Nothobranchius furzeri: one gene and its partners. The protein of the gene in region 2 interacts with the protein of the main gene of each other region in a pairwise test. Links are inferred from orthologs where the notes say so. Each region holds a gene or a part of one and is shown on either strand. Other genes may lie near its edges.

Region 1 (4,126 bases), on a different chromosome or scaffold from region 2:
TGAAATCTCACCATCTTGATCCCGACTCTGACCAGAGAATGCTGCTGTTGTGTCCTTGGGCAAGACACTAAACCCCCCTTGCCTGCTGGTGGTGGTCGGAGGAACCGGTGGCGCCTGTGCTCGGCAGCCTCACCTCTGTCAGTGCGCCCCAGGGCAGCTGTGGCTACATCGTAGCTCATCACCACCAGTGTGTGAATGTGTGGGTGACTGATCCGTGTTGAGGAGTAGCTACTCCTGTGATCAGCTGACCTGAGCGAACGAGCGGGCGTGTAGCGATGCAGTAGCTCAGACAGATAGGGAGGGGCCGGGCCATTTAAGCCCTTAAAAGCAAATAAAATCATTTTAAAATCAATCCTAAAATGAACAAGCAGCCAGTGCAGGGAGGCTAAAATGAGGGAAAACCTTTGATTGCCACTTAAAAGGCGAGCTGCAGCACTCAGAACCCTCTGAAGCTGAGCAAGGCAGGATTCACTGACTCCTACCTCAAATGCCAACATACTATTCTGATAGGAAGTGGGTGGTTGATTGTGTCGAGGCTGCTGAGAGGGCTAGTAGAACCAAAACCGCTGCCGATTTAGCATCAGCAGCTAAAGAAATGTTGCTACGGACAGCTAGAAGAGCAGATTCAGAGCTGTGCCGACAACAAGAAGCAGACTGAAAAACTCAAGGATTGGATTGTCATCTAGGAAAGTCTGGAACTGCATAAAAGCAGCATGTGTTGATCCTGATAAACTCAGCCTGTCGTGGACACCGCTCCTGCATCCAATCACCGTTACAGTAAAGGCTGAAATTACTGTTTGAATTTACTTTGTTCTTTTACCTCGATAACTCTAAACTTAAACGACTTCTGAAAATGCTAAATCAGACACACGGAAACCTAAAAGCCCCGCTGAGCATCTGGTAATACACACAAGCGTGACCGTCGTGTGTTTTTAGGTACCTCGAAGCTGCTGGTTGTCACACAACAATCTGGTCACCACTTCATTACCAGCGAACTCTGGTGGGACCCTGAGGACCCCCCCGCAGTCCTCTCCTGACATGTCCCACTGCATCGGACCATCAGGCTGCGGCTGCACCATTCCTGCAGAAGCAAAGGCTGGGAATTACAGAGATCTAATCCATTCACTTCTTCATATGAAGAACTCAGACTCTGGCGGTTCCTGAACCTGTTTCCTGGTTTCCTTTGGAGACTTGTTACACTTTTAGCTCATTTTTTAATAACGTCTAAAATCCAGCCTTCGTGGCATTTATTTAAACGGGCATTGGAGAAACTTTTTTGTTAGTCAAATTAAAACATATTGTGTACGTTGGTAAGAAAGACTAAAAAACCTGTTACCATCAACACTGCAGGTCAGTTCAAACCAGCAGAGGCAGGAACAGTTTGTTTCACCACCAACAGAAAATCATCCCAGAAACTGCAGAGTTCAGTCACTTCTTTACTGCTTTATGACGTCACACCTGTAGTGAGTGAATCTCACCACTGTGGGATTAATAAAGTCTATTCTATTCCTTTTTTTATGTTATTGTGGTCGCTCCGATTGTCATCTAATGCAACAACAGACAAAACAGCAACTTTTGCTGCTTCTGTAGCTCTAGTAAGAAAAAAGTTTCCCCTGGTTCGCTAACTACTTCCTTACTTATAAATATGGTTTCCAATAATCTACACATTGAAGTCAGAAGTAAATTAGAAAAAAGAACAATCAAGCAATTATCTGAGTCTACAGCCGATCGCTTTCAAATGCACAAAAATATCAGAAATACAAATGGTTCTAATTCTAGTTATCACCATGTTCTTATTGTTAAATTCACATTACTATAACATACCAAATGGCTCATAAAGATGAAAAAACAGGAAGTCACAAGGATCTCCTGCATGTATATTTTTCCCTTGTATGAATATTGTCCTTGTTCAATTAAAATTGTTATTATTTGAGAGACAGCAGGCTCAAATCGTGGCTGTGCTGTTTGATTTTAAAATAAGAAGTACATAAATATGTGATTAAAAGAAAAATAAAATGAAAAACGATCCTAAAAGCCACCATGGAACAAGTGAACATTTCAGGTGTAAGTAAGACCTGAGCATGACGTCTAGGGGGACTGGACACGTTTCAGCCCCGTTGGGGATCTGGAAACGTGAAACTTTCACTTTCAGTTTAAATGTGAATTAACTGTGTTTAATATGACCGGTTTGTGTCACGGCTCATTGGCGAGGTGCCAGAAGCCCTTCTGAACAGTTACACCTGAGAACAGGTGGTCATCAACCTCTTCTTATGGGACCTCAGCCTTGTCATTGTCATAAAAGTAAGATCAGGTGTCTGCTATGAAGAACATCACGATAACCTCAGCAAAGCTCACGTTAAATACTGTTTAGACAACATAGCTAACACACAGCTAACAGACACAAAACTTGTCTTACCTTTTTAAATTTTATGTCGTAAACAACAATTATCCAGTCTCAGACTCACAAACTACTCCCTTCACCGAGTTTAAAAGAGCAATCTGACTCAAACAGCTGAGATACAGCTAATTAGCTCAGTAAGCTAATATAGCACAACAACGGCTGGGCAAACGGACGCCTTTGGTTTCACATAAACACGGACCTACATCAACGGATCATGTGGCCTTCCTAAAGCATGTGTCCAGTTTTGAATCCTTTCCTTCGTGAGTTTAAGACTACCAGAGGTAAATCAGAGGCAAACCAAAGGTAAGCTGTCAGCTTTTCGACTGTTATTAGCGTGGAAAAATCGTGATATATCACCCTCAGTTTAGCCTTGTAGGCAGAACACCCGTGACTCGAACATCGAAAAACGTGTCGTTTATTTTAAGACGTTTAATTAACACAAATGAACAATAAAAAAGTTGACAAATTACAAGTGTGTGATCAAATCGAAATGGCTGTGAATTTAAATAATACCAGTGGCACATCGTATCTTTAAGCGCTGCAGAGGAAAACTCTCCTGTCAGTATTAACCCAGGGTGTAAACACTCCGTTCTCAGGAAAGCCCCTTCCTTGTTCCGTAGTGGAAGATGACGTCAGTGCGCTGCAGCATTTTGATGTCCGCTAACGTGAAGGAGGTGAAGATGCTCCCCATCTCTGCCGCAGCGGTTTCTCTTCTGGTGGCCTGGATTTACCCCAGCGGCGCGCTTTATTTCCACATCGGAGAGACGGAGAAAAAATGCTTCATTGAAGAAATTCCAGACGAGACGATGGTGATCGGTGAGCCGGTTAGCTTAACGCAGCTAACTAGCCGTCTTGCTAACAGCTGGTTGTTTAAAGATGCAGCAGATGACACCAATAGTTGTTTATTATTATTATTATTATTATTATTATTAGAGACTCGAGTCAGACAGGAAATTCTGGAGGCTTCAGCTGCGGGTTGTTCACCACTGAGGAGAAATAACGTTTAAATATCTGAAAATTCAGATCATTTAAGGGAAACATTCAACTTTTGGCCATTGATCTTTAGCTTGTTGTTTATTATCAATAAAATAAACATTTTCCTGTTTACGAAGGTATTTCCATCAAACCTAAACAAAAGATCTGTCAAATATCAAAATGAATACACAATCTTTTAAATGCAAAGAGGAGATGGGGTATAAATGTGAATGTTTATTAAATATTTCATTCATTGCTGGGATGATTTTATGAGATAAATACTATTATTACATCCATGTGTCCAATATTCCGTCCTAACACAGGACAGCAGATGTTAAGCTGGTTTATTACTGGCATCCAATTTGTGGATGATCGTGTGTGTGTGTGTGTGTGTGTGTGTGTGTGTGTGTGTGTGTGTGTGTGTGTGTGTGTGTGTGTGTGTGTGTGTGTGTGTGTGTGTGTGACAGGAAAGTACCGGACTCAGCTGTGGGACAAACAAACCACTTCCTTCCTCCCATCCACCCCCGGCCTTGGCATGCATGTAGAGATCAAGGATCCAGACACGAAGGTAAAGCCAGACAGGAAGGTCTGGAGGTTCAGAGCAGAGGTGTAAGTCTGAAGGTGTCTCCTCCACGTTCCAGATCATCCTCTCTCGTCAGTACGGCTCTGACGGACGCTTCACCTTCACCTCTCACACTCCTGGAGAGCATCAGATCTGTTTGCACTCCAACTCCACAAAGATGGCTCTGT
Region 2 (4,260 bases):
GCACCTGAGCTGCAAAACGTTGTTTAATGGAGTCAGTAGCAGCAGGAAAGCCAACACTGCGGATGTGATGAAACCACCAGTATGTCTTTGGTGATCAGAACCACACCCGGACTGTTCTGGTCTGTGGCGAAGCAGAAGCTGGTGTCTAAACCACCACAGATTAAGTCAGACTTCAGCAGAGACAGAGATTAGAAAATAAACACCCAGCTGGTAAAAATGGCTAATGGTTTGTGTTTAGCACCTTCTTAGGTTTCTACACACACATTCACACACACATTCACACACTGGTGATGATAAGCTACGATGTAGCCGAAGCTGCCCTGGGGCGCGCTGACAGAGGCGAGGCCTGCTGAACACTGGCACCACCAGTTCCTCTGACCACTTTAAAACTGAAGCTGCTGAACTTTTTTATTATGTCTGTTGTTTGTGGCACAAAGTAAATTAGTCAGAGTGGAAATAATAAAAAGCAGTTTTGTTCTTAAGTTGTTTCTTAGCAAGGTGATTACTGGGTTTGCTGTCAACATAATTAGTAAGAGGTTTAACTCATCAAAATAAGAGCATCTTCAGGTATTTAATTGATATTTTATATGAGACCTTCCTGATTATGATGTTCAAAACATGCAGAAATAACATTTTAAATGATCTGTGTGTTTAATGGTGATGAAACCAGATTACTTTTATTGTGCGTGTGTGTGTTTGTGTGTGTGTGTGTGTGTGTGTGTGTGTGTGTGTGTGTGTGTACGTGTGTGTGTGTGTGTGTGTGTGTATGTGCCCATGCACGTGTGTGATTGTGTGTTAGTGCTGACATAGTGAAAACAGCACCAGACACGTGTGACTTTAACAAGGAGAGTAGGAAGTACATATGGGAGACCCGATAAAACAAAAGCTTGTTTGTAAATCTGAAAATGACTAAATCATTTTAACAGTTTTTCATTTTATTTTATTTTATTTTATTACTCAGCAGCGAAATAAAAAGTCGGAAATAAAAGAAAACACGAGTTGAAGTAAAACTAAAACACGAAACAAAAATAATCTGCTTCTCCACTGCAGCAAATACACAAAATGTTTATACCTGATTTTAAACACCTGGAGTCTAGCAGCCAACCTATCAGCTTCAGCTAAAACTCATCGGGATCATTTGAGCCAAACCTGCAGCGGTGAATCACACAACTTATCAGGGTCATGAACACAGCTACGGTAGAACACACACACACACACACACACACACACACACACACACAGTCTGTTATTTATCTCGTGTGTTTGAGCGTTTAAGTCTTTGGAGTTCCAGTCTAAGGACCTGCTTGGTTCTGGTTCCGATCCACTGGACGAACACAGTTAACGTCTTGATTAAGACGTGAACTGTGCCTCTGACAGCTGAGCTTGGAAAGTGTTTGTTGTGGTGATGAAAACGAGCTGAAACCAGCACAGATGTTGGGCCATGCTGCCCCCCCACACCATCTGTACACTAGTCCCCAGCCTTAAAACAGCTCCCAGTCAGTGTGACGAGCTGGTTTCAGCTTACACAACAACAACATCATGGTGTTATTGGGAAAATGCCGCAGCGGTTTGAACGTTCCAACAGAAATCAAGACTCAGATTAAACAGATGTAATCTCCAGCAGGGGAAGGCTCATCAAGAAGAACCTAAAGGTCTGAGCAGGCTGCTGCAATCACCAAGCTGATTGACCTGAACAGACAACCTGGTTCTGCTCGATGCAGGTCAGAGGTCAAAATCACACTCAGCTCTGGAGGTGGAAAAAAATCTTCCTTTAAAATAAGCTTTCTGCACGATGCGGTAGACCTAATCTGATCCTCGTTCTCGCTCAGCTCTGCACTGATGTGGTTAGTTTGAATGATTCCAGTTTGTTAAAGATGAAAATCCGATTATCTTAGCATGAAAAATTAGTTTGGAAGATCTGTTACAGCTAGTGTGCCTGAGCCCTCAGTGACGGTGCCGTCAGGGACCGGGAACAACTGCTTTTAGATAAGAATTCCGTTCCATCAGTGAGGCTGATCCGGCTGAACGTCGCCGATTCGGGTCACCGGATGAATCTGTTTGTGCGTCTCTAAATGCATTTTGCACAAAAATTGGGCTAACGCAACAAGTCTGAATAAAGCAAATGAGCTTGAAACGTAAGATTCCAGAAGTTAAATGTTAGACCTACTGATGCTAATTTGAACGATGCATTTACAGACCAAAGGCGGAAAAGTAATTGGATAATTGAGTTTCACATTAAGGCCTCCAGTCGCCAGCTGATTTTTGGGTGCATCTCCGTGAAAAGCGTCCGTTTTTTGGCAGATTTTATGCAACTTGCAGTAAAAGTTAGACTTCCCCCTGCCTTCCTTCTAGTGGTTTCCTGTAAATCTGCAGTAAAGTTTTATGGGAGGAAACCACAGCTTCCATGTTAGTCATGTTTACAGGAGACCTTAAACACATCAAGTAGGGCCCTTGAGCTCAGCAGATAAATAAATAAAAAGCCATAATAACGATTTCATGATGAAGGCGTTTGATTTTACTTTGCGCCTAATTGATGTAAATGAAGACAAAACGCGCACCTGACACAAGTTTTCTTACAGTTGTGTCGCTTTTGAGCGCAGCAGCAGCAGCAGATCCCAGATCAGACCAACTCTGATGATCTTACCGTTTCTTCTCCTTGTCTGCCGTCATGTTGGAACTCCGACAGTCTGAGTTAAGTCCAACTTCAGAAGGTTGTCAGTGGCTTTTAGGCCAATGTGCGCAGTCCCAGCGGGTTATTTAGTCCGTGGATCCGGTCCGGAGGGGGTTCGGGGACGTACGGTCTCAGAACACTGCCGAGGATCGTACAGCCTCTCACCCTGCACAGGAAGCGCTCCGCGCAGGCTCAAGTGGCGCTCAGCTCCCGCTCACAAACGCCCGCAAATCCGCCAGTGGGAAAACTCCCCGTTCTCTGAGACCAGAAGCGGTCAGGAGGGTTCGGGCTCTGACCTGAACGTCAGTTGGCCCGGTGACAGCAGTCCCAGGGAGCTGATTGGCTCCGGTGGCCGCCTGAAGCCACCCCCTCACGGCGAATCATCTCCACCCCCGAACTGAGAGCTCCCACCTGTACCTGGATGTGGCGGGGCGTGGCCACGGGTCTGCACACCTTTTACACGTCAGGTTACTACATGATGGAAAACTAGTATCTTAATAGGCTCTCATGTATTGTATATTTTCTATTTTCTCGTGCACGCGCGCGCGTGTGTGCACATCTTCACCAGAATTGTTACATGCTTCTCTGATCATTTCTAATTCTCACCACAAAACCAAAACATTAATAAATATGTAATAACTCCTGTTAGTTACACTGTCAGCGATGACAGGAGCAATTGTCTCAACAGATACTAAAACTGTTTGATTTTATCCTTCTACCATTAACCTTCTCAGGCTCAACATAAGTTTTGATAAAAGGACGAACAACTAAGTCCTTCAGGGGTACTTCTGAGTTTAAAAATGCTCATGAAATACATATGTGGAGTAACTAGGTAGGTAGGTTTTAACGTTGCAAATCTGCAACGTCTGCCTCCAGAGGGTTGATATCGACTGATATCAGAATTTAAATGAAATATCAAAAAATGCTGGCATCAGTTTTACATACACTTATAAAACTTTTCAGCTACTTCTCCTCTGTCTCAAAACGTAAAAATAAACCAATCTGAGTTAAAGATTTTGACATATTTTTGTTTATTTGTAACAACTTGTGAAGCAGAAATTAGCCCAGTGTAGTGAACGTGTGATAAATGATAAATGGCCCACACTTGTATAGTGCCTTTCAGAGTAAGGACTTCAAAGTGCTTTACACTACAGTGTATCATTCACACACACACATTCACACACTGATGGTGATGAGCTATGATGTAGCCACAGCTGCCCTGGGGCGCACTGACAGAGACGAGGCTGCCGAGCACTGGCGCCACCGGTCTCTCCGACCACCACCAGCAGGTAAGGTGGATTAAGTGTCGTGCCCAAGGACACAACAGCAGAATTCTCTGTCCGGAGCTGGGATTGAACCTGCAATCTCACAGCACATAGCGTGAAGCTAGCCAGCTAACAAACAATAAAAACAAAAACAAAATTCTATACTGAAGGCTTGCTTTTCTTATCTGAAGATCTTTATAAATAGTTTATCACTGTAACAGAACAATTATTAACTAATACACACATTTTAACGTCCCACTTGAATTAGAAGCAGCTGCTGTGGGAGACTATATAAAAATGTTACTTTTCCTGTTAGTAACTATT
Region 3 (3,651 bases), on a different chromosome or scaffold from region 2:
GCAACCGGGTTTCCTGGCGACATTTTAGACTTCCCTGAAACTTGCATGATTAATCGTAGCCCGGTGTGATTCTGGCAGTTTAATAAACCCTGTCTGCATATTTGTGATTAAGTTGCACAACCTGAATGAGTTGTTTATTATAAAGCACCTTACCAGGAAGCCCAAGGCGCTGTTCCAGATCAAATCTAATTACAAACTAAAATCACAAGAGACCGAAACCAATTAAAAAAAAACTGTTAAAACTATAAATCTTCAATCCTTAAAATGTGTGATTTGTTCTACCCAGCTGTTCCCTTTTAATGTGTCCTGTTTATTTTGTTCAGCGACCAACAAGGCAGGATTAAAAATGCCAGGTAATACTTTTTAAATACCATCTTAACTTCTGATTGATTTTGCGTTGAATAAAGATTTCCACCGTTTCAAATCTTTGCAGAGAGGCTCACAGTCAGATCGAGAAGCGTCGGAGGGACAAGATGAACAGCTTCATTGATGAGCTGGCGTCTCTGGTGCCCACCTGTAACGCCATGTCCCGTAAGCTGGACAAGCTCACTGTCCTGCGTATGGCTGTCCAGCACATGAAGACGCTCAGAGGTTAGCATCCGCCCCGGGGAACGCTGACCGCATCAGAGCGAGATACAAAAGTGCACTCACTGGCTTCTGTAATCGCATTAACTGTCAGAATTGCAACAAAGCAAAAGACTGTTTATAGTAAATAATACTGACAACTCTGGCTGCAGACGCACTTCCTGTCATGGCTGGAAAATAAATGTGCTTTATTAAAAGGCAGTGTTAAAGGAAGGACAGGATGTTCTTCCTGCTTTTTCATATTTTGAAGGGAAATGCCAAACATCTGCTCACCGAGGTGGTGTTGTGTTGATATTTTTCCTCTCTAATATTTCATAATCGAGCTGCGACAGGACAGATTTCTGAGTAGATCGATCAATAATGATAATCTGTAGTTTCGTTTCCGATTGCAGATGGAGCGTTAAAGGATAACGGCTCAAGATAGGACTTTTTTTCCCCTCGCTGACTCTGTTTTCTTATTGGAGGCTGAAAATCCGCCATCTTTCACGGGAACTTTCCTGAGCAGTTAAAAAATGTATCGTGGTTACAGAAAGGGGCATATTTATTATGACAAAATAAAGATAAGGGGATGGAAATGGGTTACCAGAGCCAGATATTCCAGCACTACTAATTCTGTTGACCATCAACAAATGTAGAAGTATGTTCAGATTAACCAACAGGAGCAGGATGTGAGCTCTGATGTGTGCAGGTGGAGTTCAGTTGTTTTTATTGCATGCAGGTGCAGCCAACCCGTACACCGAAGCAAACTACAAACCTTCCTTCCTCTCAGACGATGAGCTGAAGCATTTGATACTAAGAGTGAGCACGAAGAGCTTCTAATCTATATCAAAATTATGCATCTGAAATCAATTAATCTGTGATTATTTTGTGTGTTTTAACGCTGCAGGCCGCTGATGGCTTCCTGTTCGTGGTTGGGTGCGATCGCGGCAAAATCCTCTTTGTTTCTGAGTCTGTGTACAAGATTCTCAACTATAGCCAGGTATGCTAACAGTTTAGAGGCCATGGGTAGATGAAAAGGTGCAACCATTTGTTTATAACCATAAAAATAAGAGTGTCTGGTCTGAAGTAGGGTCGTCGCGGTAACCTGTGTAGCGGTAAACCCCGGTAAAAAAGGTTGACAATAATAATAACCATCTTGTTTTTAAAAACATATATTATCTCGGTGGATTACCGTGGCTGCGGTGTAGGCGCGGTGACCCTTACCAGCCACCGTATCATCTGCTGAAGTTGCCGGTGACACATGCGCACTTTGTTCAATCAATCGATTTTATTTGTAGAGCACCTTCCGCAACGTTATCAGAAGCCCAAGGTGCTGAACAGCATCATCATAAAAACATTCCCAGTACCTGGGCTTAAGAGCAAGATAAAAACATAAAATCATAAAATAACAAGCAAGCAATGTTACAAATACAGAGAGATAACGGAATGAGACTAATCAATTAAAAACAAATGGTGGACAAAATAAGATCAAGCATCCTGATCAAAAAGAAGTATTAAAAACCATAATGTCAGGGCAATTCAATGAACCCTAGCGCTGAAAAGCAATCAAATAGAAATGAGTCTTTAGACGAGACTTGAAGGGACGGCGCCTGCCTAATGCTCAATGGCAATTCATTCCACAGAGTTGGAGCCAAAACAGAAAATGCACGATAACCCCTCGATTGATATTTCGACCGGGGGACCACCAGAAGTTCATACTTGTGCAAAAGTGCAGTAATGTAAGAGGGGGCACTGCCCTGGAGGGCCTTATAAACAGAGTTAAGATCTTACATTTAGCTCGATATTGCACTGGGAGCCAGTGCAGAGCATCCAGCACTGGAGTAGTGTGATCTCGACATCTAGTACCGGTCAGGAACCTAGCCACTGAGTTCTGTACAAATTGGAACCGTGCAACCGTGCACTGGCCCAGACCGGCATACAGAGCGTTACAGTAGTCCAGGTGAGACAGGACGAATGCATGCAACACAGACTCCAGATGAGCTCTGGACAGCAGAGGCCTGATCCTAGATAGTCATTTCAGATTAAAAAAACAGGACCTCACCACCGTATTTACGCGAGTGTCAAAATTAAGTGAGGAGTCAATTTTTATCCCCAAATTACTATTTTCTTTTCAGAGGGGGTCAATGGGCCAAGGTCAATATCAGCACCTGAGCCATTTCTTCTGCCAGGATGAAGTATTATGACTTCCGGTTTGCTCTCATTTAGGTGCAAAAAATTAGAAGCCATCCAACATTTTATGTCCTTCAAACAGTGCAGTAAAGGAGAAACAGATCTATCCTCCCCACGTCGAAGAGGGAGATAGATTTGGCAGTCATCAGCAAAAAAATGAAATTTCACATTATGCCGACGAAGGAGGACTCCAAGAGGAAGCAAATACACTGCAAATAGGAGAGGACCAAGGACAGAGCCCTGTGGCACACCCCAACAAAGTCTCACGCAGGGTGACGTCACCTCACCCATCTGAACACTAAATGTCCTGTCATGAAGGTAGGAGGGAAGCCATTGGAGGGCCTGCCCAGCTATACCCACCCAATGCTGTAGTCGGTCCAGAAGGACTTCGTGGTCGACTGTATCAAAAGCTGCAGATAAGTCCAGCAATAGTAGGACGACATTGTTATCCATGTCACCGGCTGAAAACGTGTCATTAAAAACCATTAAAAGCAGATTCAGTGCTGTGACCTGCCCTGAACCCTGACTGAAAAGTCTCCCATACATCATTTGTGTCCATAAAGGCAACCAACTGTGAATACACGACCTTCTCCAGCAGTTTGGAAAGAAAAGGGAGTTTTGAGATGGGCCCGTAATTAGCTAAGTTTGTCACATCCAGTCCCGGCTTTTTTAACATAGGATGAATAACAGCCTTCTTAAACGAGGACGGAACCATACCAGAAGTAAGACTGCCATTTATGATTGCCAAAAGCAAAGGGCCTATCACTGGAAAGAGTTCTTTATCAATTCTAGGGGGCAGCACATCACAAGGGGAGCCAGATGGTTTAAGCTGAGCGACCAGTTTTTCCAAGTCCGATAAGGATACAGGCTCAAATGTTTCCAGTGTAGCCTGGGGCG

The links.
Region 1: the proteins of epas1b (region 2) and ikbkg interact in a two-hybrid assay, tested with the Homo sapiens proteins (2 studies listed by BioGRID, with this or other methods). The link is inferred for Nothobranchius furzeri from reciprocal best matches to the Homo sapiens genes EPAS1 and IKBKG.
Region 3: the proteins of epas1b (region 2) and bmal1a interact in binary tests that used the Homo sapiens proteins (3 or more experiments, as listed by UniProt). The link is inferred for Nothobranchius furzeri from reciprocal best matches to the Homo sapiens genes EPAS1 and BMAL1.

What each region holds. Positions count from the first base shown.
Region 1 is NC_091755.1:44,542,089-44,546,214, reverse strand, and holds the start of ikbkg (NF-kappa-B essential modulator), read right to left. Parts: upstream 2,940-4,126; 5' UTR 2,915-2,939; intron 2,742-2,914; exon of another isoform or gene 2,417-2,741; intron 1,082-2,416; 5' UTR 1,080-1,081; coding exon 941-1,079; intron 1-940. Other genes in the region: tmed4 (transmembrane emp24 domain-containing protein 4), read left to right, coding at 3,028-3,217, 3,844-3,944, 4,018-4,126. UniProt on the Homo sapiens protein: Regulatory subunit of the IKK core complex which phosphorylates inhibitors of NF-kappa-B thus leading to the dissociation of the inhibitor/NF-kappa-B complex and ultimately the degradation of the inhibitor.
Region 2 is NC_091752.1:43,774,121-43,778,380, reverse strand, and holds the start of epas1b (endothelial PAS domain-containing protein 1b), read right to left. Parts: upstream 2,903-4,260; 5' UTR 2,671-2,902; coding exon 2,645-2,670; intron 1-2,644.
Region 3 is NC_091744.1:85,112,794-85,116,444, forward strand, and holds part of bmal1a (basic helix-loop-helix ARNT like 1a), read left to right. Parts: intron 1-323; coding exon 324-353; intron 354-433; coding exon 434-591; intron 592-1,303; coding exon 1,304-1,383; intron 1,384-1,471; coding exon 1,472-1,564; intron 1,565-3,651. UniProt on the Homo sapiens protein: Transcriptional activator which forms a core component of the circadian clock.